2 linked regions of the Diceros bicornis minor genome follow. The protein of the gene in region 2 purifies or fractionates together with the protein of the main gene of each other region. This does not show direct contact. Links are inferred from orthologs where the notes say so. Each region holds a gene or a part of one and is shown on either strand. Other genes may lie near its edges.

Region 1 (10,764 bases), on a different chromosome or scaffold from region 2:
ATTGCTAATCAATCACAGCACTCTTTCCCTTTATCCCAGAGCCAGCCTTAATGCTCCAGGCAACCACTACCAGTCTATTAAAATGGACACTCAAAATGAAAGCTATTTGCCTTCTCTGTTCTAGGTTCCTTTTGTTTTTCTCACTTTCCTTTTCTTTTTCATTAAAATTTGGTTACTTTCCTTGTAGTTACCAGTATATAATACAAGAAAGAATATACACTGCCTTCCTTCAACTGAGCCAGAAATCCCTCCCCAAGTGACTCCCACCAGAAACATGTACATCAGGGTTCTTAATCTGGGGTCCAGTGACCTTCCAGGAGTCTGTGGGTAAGACTCAGGGGTCCATGAACTTGGACAGGGAAAAATATACATCTTTATTTAAACCTCTAACTGGAATTGAGTATTTCCTTTGATGATGAGTGTAGGCAACAAACAACAGGACTTTCTACTAGCAGTACCTATGAGTCTGTCACTAATAGAAATTACAGACATTGTTACATCACATTTCAGTTATGGGAGGTATCTCAAAATACCATTTATATTCATCACTACTTCAAAATATCCACTGTTAGCTATTAAACTACCTCTAGATCTATTCAAGACTTTAATGAAAACCCCATGTTACTATATCATATATTAATTTTAAAAATAGTTTGGCAATAGTATTTTAAGTATTTAAATTAGTATTAATTTAAATAGTATTCAAGTTTGTTTTGTAATTCTATGTACTTTATTTTATGCACTTAAAAAAATGATGCTGAGGAGTCAGGATTTCACCAGACTGCCAAAGGGATCTATGGCACAAAAAGCCTAAGAACCCCTGCTGAAACAGCACTGTCATCATAGGTAACTTTTACTGAGCACTTCCTATATGTCTGGCATTGTTCAGCACTTTACAAGCATGAACTCATTTATTTTTCACAGCCCCATTCTGGAGCAGGTAGTATTATTCCCATCCTACAGATTAGGTCACTGAGGCACAGAAAGGTGAAATAAAAAGCAAGGTCTCAGGTAAACAACAGAGCTAGGAAATGAATTCAGGCTATCTGGCCACCAAGCATGAATCCTTAACCAACAGTCATTACCACGAAATCAATCTCTATTTCTTTCACTCAGAAACAGCATTACCCATCCAGAGTGGAAGGAGACAGGGGCCATTCATTACTATCCTGCATCATTGTGTGGCGGCAGTCGAGATGCTCCAGGCTGTGGTGCCAACACGCCTTGAGCAAACTGGGAACACAGTGTTATGACCAGGCAGTACTTTGTTCCATATCTTACTGCCTTCCAATTTACAAACTACTGGTGGGGCTTTATCGTTTAAGTACAGACTTAAATATAGACAAACAGGGGCTTTATCTTTTATATACAGACCTGTGAAACCCCTTGGAATTCACCCCTTGGGCCCCTGGAATGCTTGCATGCCTGCACGTAGTAACAAAGAATTTGTGCTCAGGCAAAATTTGCTCCAATGGCAGAGAAGCTAGCAGGCTGCGGCAAACTGTATTTGGAATTAGAAGACCTGGCTTAGAGTACAGTTTCAGCACTAACTACCAGTTGAACTAACTAGTTAACCTCTCCCAGCCTCAGTTTTTACATGTATACTATAGAAAGGACAATATATATGAAGACTAAACGAAAGCATAAATATAAAAGGGCTTTCTTTCCAAACGTCAGTAAACATACATTTTGGTTTAATATAAAGAACTTTTCACACTTTGAACACAGTGACCAGTACACAGTAGTCACACAATAACTGATAAGGAGGATGGTGGTTTAAAAAAAGCCTGACCCTTCAGAAGTGTTCAGAAGCAGACTGGATGGCCTCTTGGTGGAGCTGTCATCAAAGGTGTCAGGTAACAAGCAGAACGTTCAGGTGCTTGTTTTGGGGGGTTCCTGCCCATGCATAGGTCTCTGATGCACTCAAGTCTCAGGATTCATACAAGCATTCAAACAGGGAGCAACCAGCTGGGGATATTTATGTATTTTTATTTTTCCCCTTTATTGCTCAACTAGGGAGGAGTGGAAAAGTTGGGTGTAATAGGCCATCTTCCCCTGGGAACCTTAGCCAGTTACAGTTCAAAAGAAAAGTGACAACTTTGATTCCATTTATCCATCTGGGACACACTTATACTAAAAAATTGTTCATTGTTATTCTGAAATTCAAGTTGAAATTTAAGTGGGCACCCTGGGGGAGAGAGAGAACTCGAGTGCCAAAGTACCATCTCTAAAAATAAAATAATGAAATAGTAGGCACCAGATTAAAGCAAAAAACAAACAAAAAACCTGTTTTTTGAAGAGCCTTTCCTTGTGGGGAAATGGAAACAAGCTGCTTTTTGAAATAGACCCTAAGGGTCTGAAAGGAGAAATGCTATGCATTTGAGCACTCCACCAAACTCTGTAAACAGAAGGCACTTGATATTATACAATCATAGGGCTGCCAGATAAAATACAAGATGCCCAGTTAAATTTGAATTTTAGATAAACAATGAAAGATATTTTAGTATAATTATGTCCCAAATATTGCATGGGATATGCTTATACTAAAAACAGTGATTCACTGTTTATCTGAAATTCAAATTTAACTTGGCCTCCTGCATTTTTATTTGCTAAATCTAGCCACTCATTACTCATCCCAAAATTCTCACATCAGCTAATTTGGACCTTCAACAATCCAATGAAGTTACCACCCTATAAAGTCACTGCTCAATAAAGTTTATTATAGTCAAGTCTTTAAAAAGAAAAGATGCATTAAATTGTAAATTACCTATCAGGTGTGTTCCATGTAAATAAGCTTTATTTACTTTTTTCTTAGGTTTGCAACTATAACATTTATCATTCAAAGGGGCTTAAATTTAACACTTGAAGATTAGTAAGAAGTAAAAATTGACTGTTGATTGAGAAGATGTCAACTTGTGGAACTGGTGGTTCGAACTTCAGGGACCACTTAATGAGTTTGTGAATTTCAGTGGTCTTGCCTTTGAAACTGAGAGCTGGACAGATCATATAAAATCATCCAACTCAAGAATACTCTGTAGAACAGGAGGGGCATTTACACAACGTGGAAATTATGGTCAACATGTCATTTCCTACCAGTAAGCATTCCTCCCCCAACTCTAACCCTGGCCCCAAACACACACTGTTCTTCCTCCTGAATCCCCTTATCAGCTGATGAAGCTACAGCTCCAGGACAGCAGAGCTAAGAACTCTGGTATCACCTCTGACTTCTCCCTCCTCCCTGGGGTTCCAGAGCTTGGGCCCCTGTTATTCTCTCCAAACTACTGCAATACTTTAACTAGTTTCCCCATGTTTATTCACTCCCTATTCTAGTACTTCTCAACTCTAACTGCATATTAGAATTATCAGGAGAATTTTTAAAAATAAAAAATACTCATGCCTGGGCCCCACCCAGACCAACCGGATCAGAATCTAAGGGGGTGCAGCCCAGACATCAGCCCTCCAGGAAATCCTAATGTGCAGCCAAGATTGAGAACTACTGCTCTACTCCAGTCCATCCTTCCAGGTTCATCTCTACTGACGATGCTTTATATGGTTTAAAAAAAACAAAACACAACAAATATCAACAGCCCCCCTTTGCCTATTAAAGTAGGCCCCAATATTTCAACCTATATTTAACCCTCTCAAAACCTATGCTTCCCCCCATCCCTACTATTCTCATCTCTTAACTTTACGCTCCCCTCAAATTGGTCTGTTGCTAGTCTCCAAACGTCCCCACCTTACTCCCTTTGTTCACGCTGCACTCTCCATCTGGATGGCCTCCTTCATCCCCATGTGTGTTTCACCCATCCTTCAAGGCCAAGGTCAAATGTTTCTTCCTCCTGATCTCCACCTTCAGGGGAGGTAATCTTTCCTTCTTAAGCCTGTAGGGGTTGGTTTGTGCCTGTCCTGGACCTCTTAATTGATAAGTTTGTTTTATTTCCTCCCCTGTAATACGGTAAACTTCTTAAGGACTGTGCCTTACTCTAGTACAGGAGTCTAGGAGAGCACACCATACACAGTAGGTGCTCAATATTTCTGGAATTCTTTTGCATGAAGTTTATAAAATTTGAGTTGGTAATTTAGAAACTGTGACGTCTACCCACCGCGTTTTTTCACTATAACTAAAACGCCCGATGGACTAGGCTTGTACTGTTTAGCATTCTGGCCTCAGGGTTCCCGGGGGAAGAGACAAGGAAGTGATGTAAGTACAGCAGCTGAATATCTCAAGCATACTTTGATCTGCAGCGCCAAGATGAGAGAGTTGAAGAGTTTCTCCAACAATGCAGGGGAGGGACGGAGAACAACTTTATTAAAGACGAAGGCTGGTTTGGGCAACAAAGAGAAACAGCACCAATGACCTGAAATAAATCTTTATAATTAAAGTTTCAATGCGTGAATAGTAGCTTTGTTTTCAAGTTAAAGCACTAGGTTTGCCCTTGAGTAATTGCAAAGCACTCGCTTGTCAACTTAGGTAGAAAAGAACTTTGTCAGCAGCAAAGACATAAACTTTCTCGAAAGTCTCGAAATTCGGCCCAAACTGTGTTGGGTTTTGCTAGAAGCTGGGGATGCGTGTGGAGGGCTTCCACCAGCTGGGGAACAGGGAGCAATGCGTGGTTCTTCACCACCGCCGGGGTCCCCGGCGCTCAAATCCCTCCACGGCCTGCGCCCTCTTCAGCAGCCCGCGCGCCACGGAGTCTCCCGGGCGGGCGTCCCGGAGCCTGGTGGCCGGCCGGGCTGCGCGCCGACGGCTCGGTCCGAGAGGGCCCCACCTACCTGAACACCAGGAGCCTCTCGCCCAGCAGGGCCAGCGCGATCCCCAGCAAGCTCAGAGCCACCAGCCGCCCCATGGCGCGGAGCCGGCGCCGCCTCGCTCGGGCCTGGCCGGGGACACTGAGGGCGGCGCCCGCTTCCCCGCTCGGGCCGCGCTCCGCCCCGTCTCCGGCCGGCTTCTGCCCGGGGAGCGGCGGCTCCGCCCTCGGCCGGCCTCGGCTTTTGTCGCCGCAGCCCTGCCTCCCCAGACACCTTCCCCGGGACGGGGAACCGGCCTCTCACGCCCCGTCTATGCTAAAGGCTTGAAACTTGGAATTCCTTCACCTCCTTTCCCAAACAACTCCCGCAAGAAGCTCAGGCAGCCTTTATACTCTTCTCATTTTCCTAGTCTTCAAAAACATTCCTCACTCGATATTCAGTCAGAAACTTCTAGAGTAAAGTTTTAAAGATTTTTTTTATTAAGGGAAAAAATGCTGGGTCATGTCTTGTAAATATTTCATGTTGGAATCACTGCTTTTTGTAACACGGTGTAGATGGGAGGAAAGAAACATCCTATTTCTAGAAATGCTTGGTCTAGACTAGCAACCTAGACCTGGACACTATTTTTTGATCTAAACTCAGTTTATGAGAATAAGAGCAGTTTTGTGTTTTTTTCTTTTTCTTTTCTTTTTCTTACTTTAACAACCATAACATGAATCAAGAAAGAAAAATAAAAAAAGCATAAAAGGGAAACCCACACAGTAAGAGTGAGACAATTGTAGTACTTGAGTATGCCTGAAATAACCTTTTAATGCTTGCCAGTGTTTAACTGCCACTCTACACTATGTAGGCAGAAATGGTCACAATTGCCAATTTTCAACAAACATCAGTTTTATAAGCAACCAGTAAATAAAAGCAGATGCTAGTTTCTCAGCTACCCCTGCCCCCCATCACAAAGATAGATCCTTCTGCTTCTGTATGTGTGTATCTCTGATTCAATCCTTAGATAGAGAACTCTCTATCCTTTGAAAGCCCAGGAGGCTTACGTTTTTTTGCTTCACGGGTCCCTCTGGCAGTAGTGAGCCTATAGATAACTTCCAGAATAATATTTATAAGTACGTACAATAAAATGTACAGGATCGCAAAAGAGACCAATTACATTCAAATGCAATTATCAAAATATTCTTTTAAAAGTTTGTGCTATAGTAATATAGTAATGTGCTGTGTGCTACATTATTAATACATTTGATAACAAGATCTAGCACAATTCTTTCAAATAGTAATGAGCATAAATGTTATTTCAAGATACCTGCAACTCTGTAATGAAATAATGAAAATAATTGTTATTTTCCTTGGGAACAAAGTCATAAGTACTGCTAATGCTTCTGAGGTTTGTTTTCTACTTTTATAGTTGAAGGAGATGCTAAATTTCCTCTGAAATCAAGATTTTTTTTCTCATCCAAGGTCGTGAACCTCTGGAATTCTATCCATGGACCGCTTAGATTCAGAATTCCGCCATAGTTACCCTATGACCAGGTAGGAAGGGGTAGGATCTCTTCTCTTGGGACATTTTTGGTGTCGGTCTTTGGGGAAGAGAAGAGCCTCACATATGAAATCAGAATTTAGAATGAGGACCTAAAACAGAGGCCCTGGGACTATTGCCAGGGTTTCTGTCTTAGGTCTGAGAGTCTTGTTCCAAGCATTCTGGACAGTGAAAATTACATAAAACTATGCCTCATGGACTCTAGGTCAGGAGCCAGCCACAGATGCCCTCCCACATGTGTCACAAAATGAGGAAATCATAAATTATAAATAAGATTACCTTGCTGTGTGCTATTATCTATGTCTATTTCCCTTTTGCTATTCCTAGGCTTTTTAAAAAGTCATGTTCTTAATAGTTCAGCCTGGTTTCAGCTGAAATTAAAGGATTGAAGGTCTGTATCTTTTAGAATGCTCTCAGGATCGCAAACACAGCTCTTGTGCTGACTCCTCCTTCTTCCCTTGCCTACAGCAGACATCACTAATGGATTCTACCAATGTTCCTCACCAAGCCTAGATTTGTCCTCACAATCTTTTCAAACAACACAACAAAAGAGAAATAAAAATCCCCAAGGTAGCCACTGACAGATCTCAATTCAGCATGAAACCTAGTCACCTTCAAGGTGCTTCAAGGGGAATAAGACTCTGGAGTTTAGGAAGGAGGCATTTGTGGCAAAGAACCAGACCTTTCAAGTCCAGCAAAACCTACCTAACTTCAGTCTCAGAGAATCTTGGTGAAACTTTGGTTTAATTTTATTAACATGACCAATGAGTTCCCTCAAACTTGATCTCCTAATTCCTTCATTACTGTAGGCAAAGAGTACTGTAGCTCCATATTCTTCCTCTGAGCGTTGCTGTTGAAACAACTTCTGCAGAAGCAGCCCCTGTCCTTACCCCCATCCCCACCACCATGATAGGGCTAGGAATTGCCATTTCTCACAGGCAGATGGGGAAAAGAGAGATTTTCTGATTTGGAAATCAGGAGCCTATCTTCTCCATTGTAAGAGGTTGGAGAAGATTGGTTATTAAATTTTATAGTACATACCACTCGTTGAATTTTATACTATAGCTTAGCAATCTTTTGAGATAACTGGAATTTATAGGCTACACCAGTATGTAACCCCAGGTTTATGCTATTTCATGGGAAAAATGGTTTCTGACTCCCAAATAACCAAGTTACCCAACACAAAACAAACTTGTTCAGAACTTGTTTGTATGCTGGCAGCTCCTTACACTTGGTATGAAATAGTGTTACTCAAGTAGTGACATATAACCAGTTTATAATTAGAAATTTGATGGTTCTTAAGCAAAATTTCAGAAATAATAACACGTTTTGTCAGTGTTTCTCAGACTACATGTAGTGAAGGACAGGTTTTTCTTCGCCTTTGTAAATGAATTACTAGAAAATGAAGTAAAAAATCAGACATACAAAATACAAGCCCAAATCTCTTATTATGTGATTCAACAGACGTAAAATTACTTTGTCAAATTTCGATAACAGTTTCTAAATGCTTACTATCAAATTTTCATACTTATCTCACCACGGACCAGAAGCAAGAGGTTCACAGACTGAAAATGGTCCTTGGAGCACACTGTAAGTGGACTGCCTTTCACGAGTGTACTTTTAACTGTAAAGTTCCTTGCAGTGCATTCTCACGTGTAATGTTCCTGGTAATTTGTGCAATAGGTGACTCATGATTATTGTAATTTTATATAGTGTGTGATGGGAAGTTGGTCCCTTCATATCCCTTTTATTTCCTTCCTCTCTTTACCTCTGTTTTAAAAAGGGGGCAGATCTTTTAACACAAAAACATTGAAGAGATGTTATAAAGGATAGTTATTATCAGTAAAAGAAAGATTTGCTTTGTATATGCTTCACTCGATGGCTTCTTGGTGGGTGGGGGAGACCACCCCCCAGCCAAGCCAATTCCTGAGAATTCCAATATATTAAAAGTGAAGAAATGCCATAACAGAAACTGAAAAATTGTATATATGTTTTAATATTTATAGTTAACAAATTTACATTCTTCAAATATTAGGTTGAACAATATGAACTTGCTGTTTGTAGAGGTCAAAAACACACACAAATATAAAATACAATGTAGTGTGCTAGTCACAAAATAATTATGCGATTTATAAAAAAATATTCCTGGTTTACTAGAAGAGGAATAGTCCAGTAATGGAACTCAAATTTAATATGAATGAGTTATTTTCAGTTGTGTCAGTGTATCTCTATGACATATGAATAAACAAATTCTGAGATAATGCTGGAAGTCAATCAGATGGCCCATTTGTCTCCACTAGACCCCCGCCTATTCCTACAGAGGGCTGTAGGAGTTGCGGCCTCTCTTCCAGGAGCAGTCAGTCCTTGGAGGGAGAGGACAGAGGGGTAGAAAACACTGGTAAAGAGAAAAGTTGGAAAGACCAGAGACAAGTACTCTCAACCTCCTTTAGAGGCTGACTCTGTATGGCCTGAACTCTATGGAAAAAGTAAAGACATGTTTCCCCCATTCTAGGAAATACATGCATGTTTTCCATATTCTAATAGCAATAATGTTTCTAGTTATCTATTAATGAACCATACCTGAACCTCTTTCAAAGTAACAACCATAGCTATTTTCATTGAACATTTCCAGTTCCACATACATTATATACACTACTTCATTTAGTCCCCATAACAACCATTTGCATTAGGTACAATTATTATCTCCAATTTATAAGTTGTGAAACTGAGGCCAGAGGTTAAGTATCTTGCGCAGGGTTACACACCTAGCAAACGGTGGAGCCAGAACCCAATATAAGAAAATTTATATTAAGACCTCATTTCCACCCCTGATATAGCTTTTGTTAATTGTCAGATAAAAAGATTTCTGTTCCTTTGCTAGAGCAGAGATGAATGAACTGGTAGTCAGAGTTGTAGAGAAGGATCTTGTGTGGACTTTCATGAGGGAGAGTTTTTAAAATTAGGTTGCTTTGTTGCTTTTTATACTTTTCCTCTGCCTGCCTGCATTACTTCACTTAATATTTATTGAGTATGTTCTGCATCTCCAAGGAGTTACTGGGAATTCAAAATAAAGGAGTCATACATTCCTCTGTTGGTGGTGGTCATAGTTCAGTGAGAGGCAGGCACCTGGACAAACATATGCAATGAATGTTATGTGTCAAGGGCTAAGAACTTTGATCTTTATTCAGTATGTGATGTAAGGCCACCAAAGCCTTTTAAGGAAGGGAGAGACATTCATGTTTTACAAAGGTCACTCAGACGGCTGTGGCAAGGTGAGTTGGAGTATATTTCCCAAGTCTACTTGAGAGAAGATACAGATGTGAACAAGGCAGAGGCAGTGGGGAGGAGAGGGAGGAGATTTAAGGAATTTCAGAGATTGAATGGGTAGAGATGGGTGACTGATGAGATGCGGGGGAAGGAGGAGTTGAAGATGGCTTAGGTTGTTCAAATGGGTGAATAGGGTTACACTAACTGGGACGGGAGAGGAACAGATTGGGGTGGCAGGGACAGGGGAAGTTTGATGAGCACATTTGATGTTCTCGAAGTCCAGGAGACAATTACAGACAAGTTTCCAGTGCTCAGGAATGAGGTCTTGTCTGGACATGGAGACTTGGAGATCATTAGCAGAGAGTGCAGCAAGCTGAACAGAGGACCTTCAAGAAGGTTTGAGGTTGTAGCCTGAAGTGAAGTGGTATACGTAAAAGTCCCAAAAGCTTTATGGGTGTGTAAGTGGCTAGGAGGCAGGTTGAAAAGTGGGAAAGGGATGGGGAGTTAAGAATTGAATTGAGTGTTAGAGATCACCTTAAACTAGGGAAAGCAGATACTGGCTTAGAGATGGTCATTTTCCTTTTCTCCTGAATCTGGATGCGACCTTGAAGTTCTTCATGTTGTGGTGCTCCAGGCAGTCACTCCTTGTCCATGGAGACTGAAATCTATTTGCTATCCCTGCATAGGGACTGAGAACTGTGTGGAAGATAGAGGTAGGGGAGATTGGAAAGAAATCTCCAGAGTTATTTGTGCTTGGCATAAGACAGCCCCTCTCCTAGCCACTATACCTTCTCTTGCAGGAGTGACATGAGAGCCCTGGAGCGGGCTTCTGGAAGATCTCTCTCTTCTTTAACACTTACTACCTCACCTCCAATATCTGTGTAATCTCATTAGGCCCTTTATTCCTATGTTATGTGGTCACCATGAAAAGCTCAGGCTCCCTAGTCAACCTTCATCCTACAGGCTCTCTTCCCATATGGCTGAGTACTTTCTCCCATCTCCCTAATCCCCACCCCTCAACCCTTTTGTTGTGTCCTCTGGAACTCATAGTCAGTCATAACAAAATCCTCTATATACTCAATGTCTTCTCTAAATATTCTCTTCAACTTTCTGTGTTATCTGTTGGCCCCCAACCCCAAGACACTTTCCCATCTGTCCTAGAAGTTTCTAGCTCTGGCTCACAATCACTCCATTTTATACTACAC
Region 2 (10,905 bases):
GTTCAAACTCCAGCTCAGTTTGTACACAGATGTAGCCTCAGATTTTGACAGTGCACCAGAGATGGGCTGTCCCATCCACTAGTGGCCTTCTTTCTACACAAACTTGTTCACTTGCAGAAATAATGACTACCATTTACATCTTTTTAAGTACATCTCCAGGCAGCTGTCAAGTGATGACACATTTCCTCAGTACCACTGACTGTCCTCAACTCCAAGCCTGCACTCGGCCACCCCACGGCAGGCGGAGTGCAGAGCCGGGTCCTCTCACCTCTGCCACTGTCCTGGATGCGTAGAGGTCATGGCAGAACCTGGAGACACACCCAGCTCAAGCTCCAGCGAGGGGAGAAGGAGAGGCCTCCGCAGGAAGCAGAGGGGCTGGCCTGGCAAGTCAGGACAACGCAGGATGGGATGGAGGGAGTAGCACTAGAATCCTGTCCAGAGGTTAAGCTCCCTGCTGTTTCCTTTGCAGTCAAGTAGGCGGACCAAATGGCAGGACATTTGGGGTGGAGGCTGGCCTGGTCTGACTTCAACTGATGGAAATCTTGGGAACTCTGTTTTACAGCCAACTGGCATAAACATATCCACATAACAAAGGATAATTTGTGTGAACACCAAGCTCGCCTGTAGATAAGTGTTTAAGTCACAGTTTTAGAGTTAGATGGGCTCAGCTAGTCTTCACTTGATAGATAACTCCTCTAGCTTGCAGTTTCCTTAAGTGACTTGCCCACAGTCATACTACTAGTTAGTATTAGGCATTTATGAGCTCCAGTACCCTCAAGTTTGAAAAAACAACCCAAAAGCCACAAGACAAAAACAAAACCATGAAAGTAGGTGGGAATATATACCGCCTGCAGGCTTTTTCCTATGGAATGTTCACAGAGCATGGCAACTGAACCTTGGGTCAAGCCAGCAGGCTAAATCTACCCCTGATTTACCACTGGCTTTTGCAGAAGCCACACTGGAGCCAGGAGCATGCCTTGAATGAGATGCCTTATTGGCCAAGGGGAACATCTGCTGAACAGCCATCAACTTGCCTTGCTAAACATGAATAATCTGGTAACAATATTTTGAATTTGAATAAATTAGAGCATAGAAGTCAGAGACGGTGGCTCAAGCCCCCAGTCTGCCATTTACTAGCTATGTGACCTTGGGGCAAACTTGAGCCTTAACACTCACATCTGCAAAACAGGAAAAAGAGCATCACACCTACCTAAAGGGGTTCTGTGAGGTTAAAACAAGCTCAGACGTGTCATGGCAGGCAGCACTATGCAAAAGTTAGGTAACTCCTTTTTCTTTAGTCTCTTGTAATCTAGAATGTCATTTTAAAACAGCGCTATTGAGATAATTTACCATAAAATTCACCCTTTTCACGTATACAGTTGAATGGTTTTTAGTAACAATTAGGTAACTTCTCCCCCATTGTCTCCAGTTTTCCTCTTGTCCACCACCCCTGAAGCATTAATTCACCCTCCAAAGTTCAGCTCAAAAATGGACTCCCCAAAACATTTGTCCTTATCTTTATGAGAGTACTTTCCATTGTAATTTTTTTAATGTATTCACCCTTCCTCCCATCAACTATGAACAAGACAGGGATAGTAACTACTAACATTCACATAGCACTTTATAGACATCTTTCCACATAGGTTAATTCTTTTGATCTACTTTTGTATCCTACACTGTGTCCATAGCAACCACTTTATATTTATGAAATTAGTGAATGACAGTAGTTTGAGGTCCTCTGTGGCCTAAGGATAGTAATAAGAACAAATTTTAAAGCTTCCTTCTCAAAACCTCCAACAGCACACTTGCATCAGAGAGAGGGTTTTTTTTTTTTTTAAGTTTTCTTGACAAAGCAAATATTCCAAAGACTAAGAGGCATGGTCCAAGCACAGGGAAACTTGTTGGGCCACAGCTGAACACTGCTATCACCCAGAAACCAGCTGTAAATCCAGTCCTGATCTCCACCAGCCTCTGAATCCCTCCCCATCTTGCCCCCTCATCTGAAGCCACTGAAGGCCCAATGATTTGGTGATTCAGAAGAGTAAAAGCCAAGAGTCCTGGCCATATTGCAGATGGTAACATATAGTTCTTGCCCTCAAGGAGCCTGCAATCCAGTAGTTCAATTCATACAATATTTCTCTGTCTTTCCACAAGCGCCCTGAGAAGTAGGCATAGCTGTTAACCAATTTTACAGAGAAGGAGACAGGTGCCATAGGATAACTGGTCTGCCCAAGATCACTCTTGGTAAGAGGAAGAGTCAAGACCCACCCCCAGGTCTCTGAACTCAAAAGTCTTTTGCCAGGCAGTAAATGCTGCCGCAGCAGTTTCAACAAAGATTTAGGACTTTAGAGGGATGGCATTTTAGTTGGGGGAACAGGATAACAATGTCACGGATGATGTAGCATTGAACTGGCCTTCAAAGATAGGCAGGGTTTTGAGAGTAAGCAGTTTAATTTGGCTGGAGCGCTGACGCCCTTTACAGAGCTGTGGCTGAAAGGGCAGAAAGGGGCACCTGAGATCAGATTAGAGATGGCCCAATCCAGGCTTCTGCAGTAGGTAATGTGTCATCCTTAAAACACCCCAAAAAGCATCCCTTTCAGGAGTGGAGGGTGGGATAGGGTGACCCTGGAATGAGATGATACCATCTTCACGCCCAGAGGGATTCTTTGTTCCGGGTAATGGGACAAACACTGAAGGAATACAAAGACCTATTCAGCAAGTCGTTTTCTTTCTGCCCACTTGCTAAAATAAAAAAACCTCATCTTCTTTTGATTACTTCTGTTAGTAAGACATCTGATCACAGCATCCATCAAGGAGTGGGAGACACTGGGAAAGATTACCCACATTTGCTCCAGTTTCAGATGGTTATTCTTCAATGCTCTCAGGCCGAAAGGATAACTCATTTCCAACCTCGGGAAAAGCCATTTTAACGGCTGAATTCCTACCCAAGCCTCACTCTGTCCCAAGCTCCCCAAGAAAAAGTTTATAAAAACTACAGTCAGGAGAGATATATACTATTTCTCAAAACTGCAGACATTATTTGGACGACCACAAGGTTTAAAAACCATGCAGTCTAGTAATGCTATTTCATCCTCTGTAAAAATTTAAAATTATGAAAAGCAAAAATTCCCCCAAAATGTATTTCAGGCCTTACAAAGGACAGTTAGTCTGTAATCCCATGACAGAACTTTCTTAGTGCTCAGACTGAACCCAAAGGAGCTGCTATCACAGGTAAGTATTCTAAAAGACCCCTCCCGCCCATCTGTTCAGGTGTACCGAGAGCCTCGCAGACACGAGGGAGTTAATTTGCAGACTAACGACAGGAATGTTTCCAGTTCAGATTTACAGAACTTCTCAAGGATTCTAAGTGTTTTGCAAGAGACTCATGACCAACCTCTGACCTAGCCTGAAAGTCCTAGGAGGAGAGCCCAGTATCCAAGGCCGGCCATCAGCCTTGGATACTGCCTTGAGGTAAAAGGATTTCAGAGGTAAATTACAGCTACTTAATGTGAAGCCTAACTATTAGATCCCTACCTAAAACTCTAGGAAACTGAATCGCTGTATTTTCTTTAGGCACATAAATGTTATTAGTCCTTGAATTTTTACTATATTGATGAGGTCTCTCCATATACCATGTTACTTAATAACCCCAATAATCCTATGAAGTTTTATCTTCAGAAAAAACTGAGCCTTGAAAGAATAACGTGCCCAAAGCCACAGAGCTAGTAAGCAGTCTAGCCGCTGATCCCATCCCACTGCCTCCCCTCCTAACCAGGCACCAGATGTGTGCTCCTCCACAAGCCCACAGTGCTGGGGATCCCCCCATACACAAGGGAAGAGGAAGCCACAGCTCTTCTCCTGGTGTCAGGTCCTTACTGAGTCAGCATCACCTATTTCTGCCTGAGAACTACAGAGAAGTTTAAGGTGAGGTTTTCCTAGTCCAGGGAAACCCCTTAATCTGCCTTCCCCTCTGATTCACTATCCCTTCATTACTGACACACCTAGAGTGTGTACAAGGGCACAGGATTCCCAGAGGCTCACTCATCTTTCATCCTGATCCGGTTTAATCAGCACTATATCCTTAAACATTACTTCCGACCCCCATAGTTTTAAAGGAGAAAATCACAGACACACAAACAGCAGTGAGGTGCTCATGCTCAAGGCTACTAAACCAAGGAAAAGCCGACCCAGAGAGTCAGGACATCGAGTTCCAGGGCCCATCCTGTCGCTAGCTAGAACTATGACAAGGGGAAATTCAATTACCCCCTCACCACCCCCCTCCGTGGGCCTCAGTTTCCAAAGATGTAAAAGGGAATTAGTTGATAAGAAGTAACTTGCACTCTTTAGAAGATCGAGCTGACTTACGTCAAGTACTTAGGACTATTCTAATTTGATGCTTGATGAATTATTTCCTTTCTTTACCTTCCCTCCCAACTTCATCTTTAGGGGAGCAGAAGGGGAAATAAAGTGGTCGGATCTTCTAAATATATTCATCGAGTTCGAGTGCATGTGGCAGATTTTTTTTTTAAAGGCAGGTTAAATAAATAAGATTCTTATCCCTCTCTACCCCTTTTCCTCCTTCCCTCGGCTCCCACATCCTAAACCCAGAAATTAGGTGACCACAGCTGAATGAGCTCAAAACAGGTCAGCAAGAAGCTCCCAGTTGCCATCCCCTTGCAGACCTCAGGGACAAGTGCCTGGCTGCAGAGAGAAACCGGAGACATGGGGGACCTCCAGGGGCTCCACTGCTAGACCAACTTCCCCGGGACCGGCTGGACCCGCGCCCCTCGGGGGACGGGGGCGCCTGAGCCGCTGCATGGCCCGCCGCCCCCCAACTCGCGGCCCCGCCAAGTCCCCACAGCCTGCCCGGGTGGCTGGCAGCCGCTCACCTGCGCGGGACAGAGCAGCAGCAGGAGGAGGCTGAGGGCCGGGCCGCGCGCGCCCATGCTGCGGCGGGGCAGGGAGAGGACGCCGGCAGCGGCTCGGCCGGCTCGTCGTCCCGGGCTGTCTCAGGACACCGCGCCGGCTGATTCAGGGAGCGGGCGTCAGAGGCGGCGGGCTGCGCGCGCAGGTCAGGAAGGAACTAGGCGTCGTCGGCTCCTCCCCCTTTTGGGGGAGGCGCAGCTGCCGTGACGCCCTGGGCCAGTTCTGGGGCGGGGCCGGCCCGGGGTGGGCGGGACAGGGGCGAGGCCCAGACGGGGCGGGGGCGGGGCCCGACCGGGCAGTGCCAGGCCGGCGGCACGACCTCCTCCGCCCTGCGGCTTCTCGGGCCGAGGCGTGCGGCCGGGACTCCCCGAGCCGGGGAGATGAACTTTTGGAATCCGGCCTGGGAGGATATTTCTAGAGTTGTGCCAAAAGTGTATGGTTTTGATGCTTTAAATCATTTCTCCCGTTTGTCTTTCCTGAGTTGGAGACCTTGTGCGAGAAGGTTTTAGCGAATGGGAGTGCTTGGAGACTGTTTTCCCAATTAAGACCCCACTCCTCAGCGGAATATGTGTTTATTTCGGCCCCAAATAGCACTCCGAGCAAGTTCTCCCGAGCCCAGTCACCCCGAAGGAATCCACCCCTGGGCGCTTGTAGCAAACCTCGGGGCGGAGCCGCGCTGTGGCCTGACTGTGTTGTGATCCGAGAGAGCGCGAGGGGAGGAGTGCGGCGGTGGGCGGCGCTGCTGAGCCACCCAATCTCCGTTCACTGGCCTCTCAGCCCACGTTCGGAAAAGCGCTAGAACCGCTCTATCTGCTGGCGGAGCCAAGCGTGGCAGTGAAGCCGTGGGGGGGCTTCCCGTCACCCCCGGGAAGTTTGACCCAGAGATGGGACCGGAGTCCATTTTTTTTGTTCTAAGTCAAGTAACACAAAGATAAAGGAGAAGCATTTTCATTTTTGAGCTTTGCACTTATCATAATCTTTTTTGGTCTTGCACTTATTTTTATTATATGCATTTCCGGTAACATTTCCCCTCTGACTTCAATTATTGAGACCTCTCAAAAGCATGAGTCATTTCCATTTTGAAGTTAAGGAAATGGAGGTAAGGATCTCTTCTCCCAACAGGAGAAGCCAGTTTACAATGAAAAGACAATATCCAGCTGCAACAATGATCAGACCCAGTGCCAGTAGAACCATGATGTAGGTGACATTCTCATCCCTACTCTACAAAGCGGCTGATTCAGTTACTGTCTTTGCCTCCCCACCTCCTCAGCCCTGTGATGTCCACCTGGCTGGCTCCGCACTAAAACTATAGGGATTTCCTCTGGATCTTCAGCCCTAGATTTTCCTTGACGACCTCCTGGCGCTCATCCAACTGTGTGCTCTCCTGCTCCTGGTGAACTGAGATAAAGTAGTATGCTGTAATGCAGGGGTCCTCAGAGTGTTGTCGCTGAACCAGCAGCAGCAGCAGTACCTGGGACCTTGTTAGAAACGCAAATTCCCGGTTGCACTCTAGACCCACTGAGTCAGAGACTCTGGGTATGGGCCCAGCTGGTTGTGTTTTAACAAGCCCTCCAGGTGGTTCCAGTGCACACTCAAATTCCAGAACACTGCTGTAATGTATTCTCTGGATCCTGGTAGATTAGTTGCTCTTCTAAGTTTAGTACAGTCCTTATGGGAAAAAACAAACAAACCAACAAAAATCTTTACTAAATGATTGACTTGAATAAAGGAAATTTCAAGCACCATATGAGACATTCTGGAATGGGCAGAAATTTCGATGCCCCACAAATTGTGTCCACCATTCACTAAAACTGTAACAGATCTTAAGTTAGCATGAAGGAAGGCATCTTAGGGAAAGCAGCAATATTTTAACTATGACCCTGACTCACTAGTCTCTGAGAATGCACTCTAGCCTAGATGATTAAGCTCCTCTTGCTTTTGCAAAATACATGAGCTGCTAGTTCTATGACTTTGCTTACATATGTCTCCCAGCTGTGATAAGATAACTTTGTTCTCTGAGTTCCCCAGGAGCGTGATGGCCTCCAGAAAGAAAAATGCTGCATTGGTATCCATCACGAATGACAAAAGAAAGATAATGTGGTGTCTTGAAGTTGGTCACACCTGATGGTCAACATCCTTAAACACCCTCCTTCCCTACTCATTTCCCCTATATAACTGCCTCAAGATTCTGTGTGATTTTAAGATGGTTCTTTAGGACACTAGTCTGCCATCCTCCGATTATGCTAGCTAATCGGAAAATAAATTTTCCTTTCTCAACCACTGGCTTGTTTGCAATTGATTGGCACCAGATTGTGGTGAGCAGAAGCTGCTTTTTGCTCAGCTACAAAACAGTAACAAAAAGATCTTTTTGCCATATATTTTTGTCTGGCTCTGTTTTTCATACAGCTTCAACATGCCCAAAAGCCTAGGAAATATTTTTAAAATCAATTGTCATAGTTTTAAGAGAAATGTTTTTTGCTGATAACAAAATAATGCATGCTTATGCTAGAGACTTTGAAAATACAGAAAGGTTTAGAGACTACAATAAAAAAATAATTTATAATTCCACTACTATGGATAAGCTATGTCACATTGTGATGCACTTTCTCCTATGAAAATTGTTTTAACATAGTTGAGATCCTAAGAGAAACTTTGTTCAAATAATACTCAATATCACTATCATTATAAACACCAATTCAATATTGACTGCCTCATAATAAAGGACAAGAGGGAAAATGAAATTATTAGACATATGCCTCTTTATAAATGTGCAGAAATATCCTCCAGAAAACTTCTATGCATTTGAAGACATATATGTGAATATAATATATGGACTTTTTAAACAAGTGGGACTATATAGATACAGTTTGCAGCTTGCTTTTTTACATTTAGCAGTATGCTTCTTCACCTCACTGCTTTTACTAGCCCTATAGAATTTTCTGTGTGTATGTAACATTCCCAAAGCCAGAATGATGTAGGTCAGTCTCAGAGTAGTGCCTAAGTCAATGAAATATAGCTCACCAACCAAGTATTTCAAAATAACTCGAGTTCTCAAATTGCACTTCTGGTACATGTGAAGGGTTTGTATGGTTCCAGTAATATCGAAAAAAATCACCTTTCCTTTTCTATCTGCTTCCTCACATTCCTGAGCTTGTCTAGATTCCACAAAGCTTTGCATCTTTATGTACCCTCCGCTCTCCTCATATACTGCATCACAGAAGTCCAAAAGCTGTTGAACGTTTCCCTTAGGGAGAGAAATAAGAACACTGACCTAAGACAAAATTCTCTTTACCTAGCAGATGGAAGGGGAAGGCTAGAAATAGTCATGTTAGTAGTTTTTGATCCATTATATAATTTATTTAACCAATCTCCTGTTGGACATTCAGTTTGTCACTTTTGTTACTGGAAACAATGATGCAATGAACATCCTTGTACCTAAATCATTGTAATCATATACATATAGAACTCTTGGAAGAACTTATTGTTGGATCAAAGGAAATGTTCATTTTAATTTTTATTACTGCCAATTGTCCTCCAAACAGATTGCAGTTTATACCTTTGCCAACAACATATGGAGGTGCCTGATTCCCACATCCTTGCCAACACTTATCTTTGCCATTCTTATAGGTGAAAAATGGCATCTGATTTTACATATTTTAAAAAATATTGTGATGCTTTAATTTGTATTTTATTAATTATTAGTGAGATTAAGAATCTTTTGGGGGGCAGGCCGGTGGCTTAGTGGTTAAGTTTGCGTATTTTGCTTTGGCAGCCCGGGGTTTGCAGGTTTGGATCCCAGGCATGGACCTATGCACCGCTTATTAAGCCATGCTGTGGCAGCGTCCCACATATAAAGTAGAGGAAGATGGGCATAGATGTTAGCCCAAGGCCAATCTTCCTCAGCAAAAAGAGGAAGATTGGCAACAGATGTTATCTTAGGGCTAATCTTCCTCACCAAAGGGGGAAAAATAATCTATTCATTTATAAATGATTTTATTTCTTTTTCTGTGTTCTTCATTTTCTGTTAGATATTCTTTTTCATATTGATTTGTAAAAGCTCTTTATTTATTAAGAAAATTAACTTGGTCTAGGATATGTGTTGCACATACTTTTACTAATTTACTAGTTTTCAGGATTATAAAAAATTATTTCATGTTTTCTTTTAGAGTTTTAATGATTTCATGAAAATAATGATCCATCTGGAATTATTTTGCTGTGATGAGTGATGTAAGGACCCAGCCCCCCTCATCCCCCAAAGGCTAGGCAGTCACATGGATACCTGCTCCTCTTAAGATCATCATTGGTTTTGTGTGGCCAAGTCCAATGACAACTCCTTTGGTCTCATCTCACTTGATCTCTTAGTAGCGTTCCACATGAATAATCTTGCTGTCCTCCATAAAGCATGTTCTTCTTTAACCGTCACTCTCCTGGGTTGCCTCATTGGCTAAGCACCAACTATATCTCATCTTCTAGACTAGGGATGTATATTCATGTTAATAAAATTTCATTACAATGAAATAATTTTGATTTCTTTTACTATAGAAGCTTTTTTTTACCTTCTGCTGATGTGGAAACTTCAAAGTAGGCAGTGATTCAAGTGAGCAAAGAAAAAGGAATGCCTCACTACTGCACAGACTGCAAGCTTGCCTGGTTTCTACTCAAAAACTGAAGTTCAATAATAGAAAATGAAGATAGAGCTGGGCTTCTGGGGTACTAGGATGCAACCAACTTCGCCTGGTGATATCTGAGCCAGTTGCTGATGGACCTGTCGCTGCTTCACCTTGCTCACATTTTTTTACTTTTCCCCCTTGTGTTAGTCAGCTCAGGCTGCTGTAACAAAATACCATAGACTGGGTGGCTTAAAAACGGGGATTTATATCTCACCATTCTGGAGGCTGAGAAGTCCAACATAAAGATACCAGCCTGTTCACTTTCTGGTGAAGGTTCTCTTCCTGGCTTGTAGATGGCCACCTTCTTCCTGTGTGCTCACACAGCCTTTCCTTGGTGCATGTGTGTGAAGAGAGAGAGAGATCACTCTCTTCCTCTTCGTCTTCTGCTAAGGCCACCAATCCTATCGGATTAAGGCCCTATAGCCTTATGACCTTATTTACCTTAGATACCTCCTAAAAGTCCTGTCTCCAAATACTAACACATTGGGGGTTAGGGCTTCAACATATGAATTTTGGGGGAACACAGTTCAGTCCGTAGCACCCCTTCCTTTGCTCAGGGCTGCATTGTGACTTTTGTGAGCTCTAGTCACCTTTGCCTTTAGGGGCCCTTTCTTCCTTAAAAAAAAGACACTGAAAGTTATATTTTATAACTGTATTGGTATAAAGACAGATATAATCCAGGATGGATTTATTATTATATATTCATTATTATTATATTCTTATTTTTCTTCTTATTTTAAAATAAATTAAAATTAAAACATTTTCATGGGACCTTAAAACTATTGGGAACACTAGGCACTGTGTCTACCATGCCTAGTGGAGAAGTTGGCCTGTTTTTGCTGCTAATGCTGTATAACTCCCTGTACTATTTACAGACATTGTAAGTTTTGCTGATAGATTGCCCCAAAACGATGCAGGACCAGCAGCTAGAGCTGGCTCTAAAAGAAGCACCTGTAGGTAGTAGAAGCCTGTCCAGTTGAACAGAGGGAACAGGAGCAGATGACCAGCTCACACCTGTCTCCCTCTGTCAGGCTACACACTGCCAACACATTTTGGTGAAATATAGACCTTGAGCCTTGAGTTAAAGCCTAGGGAGTTTCAGATTGAGGATTTTTGAGACCCTCTTTGGGTAATAGACTTTTTTCTTTTTTACTTTTTTTATTAAGATATACATATATAAAGTGTACAAAGTTTACATGTACAGCTCAATGAATTTTACATACTCCACACTTATATTAGTTATCTATTACTGCATAACAAATTATCCCAAAACTTAGTGGATTAAAAGACCACTTATTATATCACAATT

Evidence for each region.
Region 1: the proteins of NPC1 (region 2) and PON2 purify together in Homo sapiens (affinity purification with mass spectrometry; 3 studies listed by BioGRID and IntAct, with this or other methods). This does not show direct contact. The link is inferred for Diceros bicornis minor from reciprocal best matches to the Homo sapiens genes NPC1 and PON2.

What each region holds. Positions count from the first base shown.
Region 1 is NC_080742.1:32,554,634-32,565,397, forward strand, and holds the start of PON2 (serum paraoxonase/arylesterase 2), read right to left. Parts: upstream 4,884-10,764; 5' UTR 4,848-4,883; coding exon 4,774-4,847; intron 1-4,773. UniProt on the Homo sapiens protein: Capable of hydrolyzing lactones and a number of aromatic carboxylic acid esters. Has antioxidant activity. Is not associated with high density lipoprotein.
Region 2 is NC_080755.1:11,836,065-11,846,969, reverse strand, and holds the start of NPC1 (NPC intracellular cholesterol transporter 1), read right to left. Parts: upstream 5,020-10,905; 5' UTR 4,947-5,019; coding exon 4,890-4,946; intron 1-4,889. UniProt on the Homo sapiens protein: Intracellular cholesterol transporter which acts in concert with NPC2 and plays an important role in the egress of cholesterol from the endosomal/lysosomal compartment.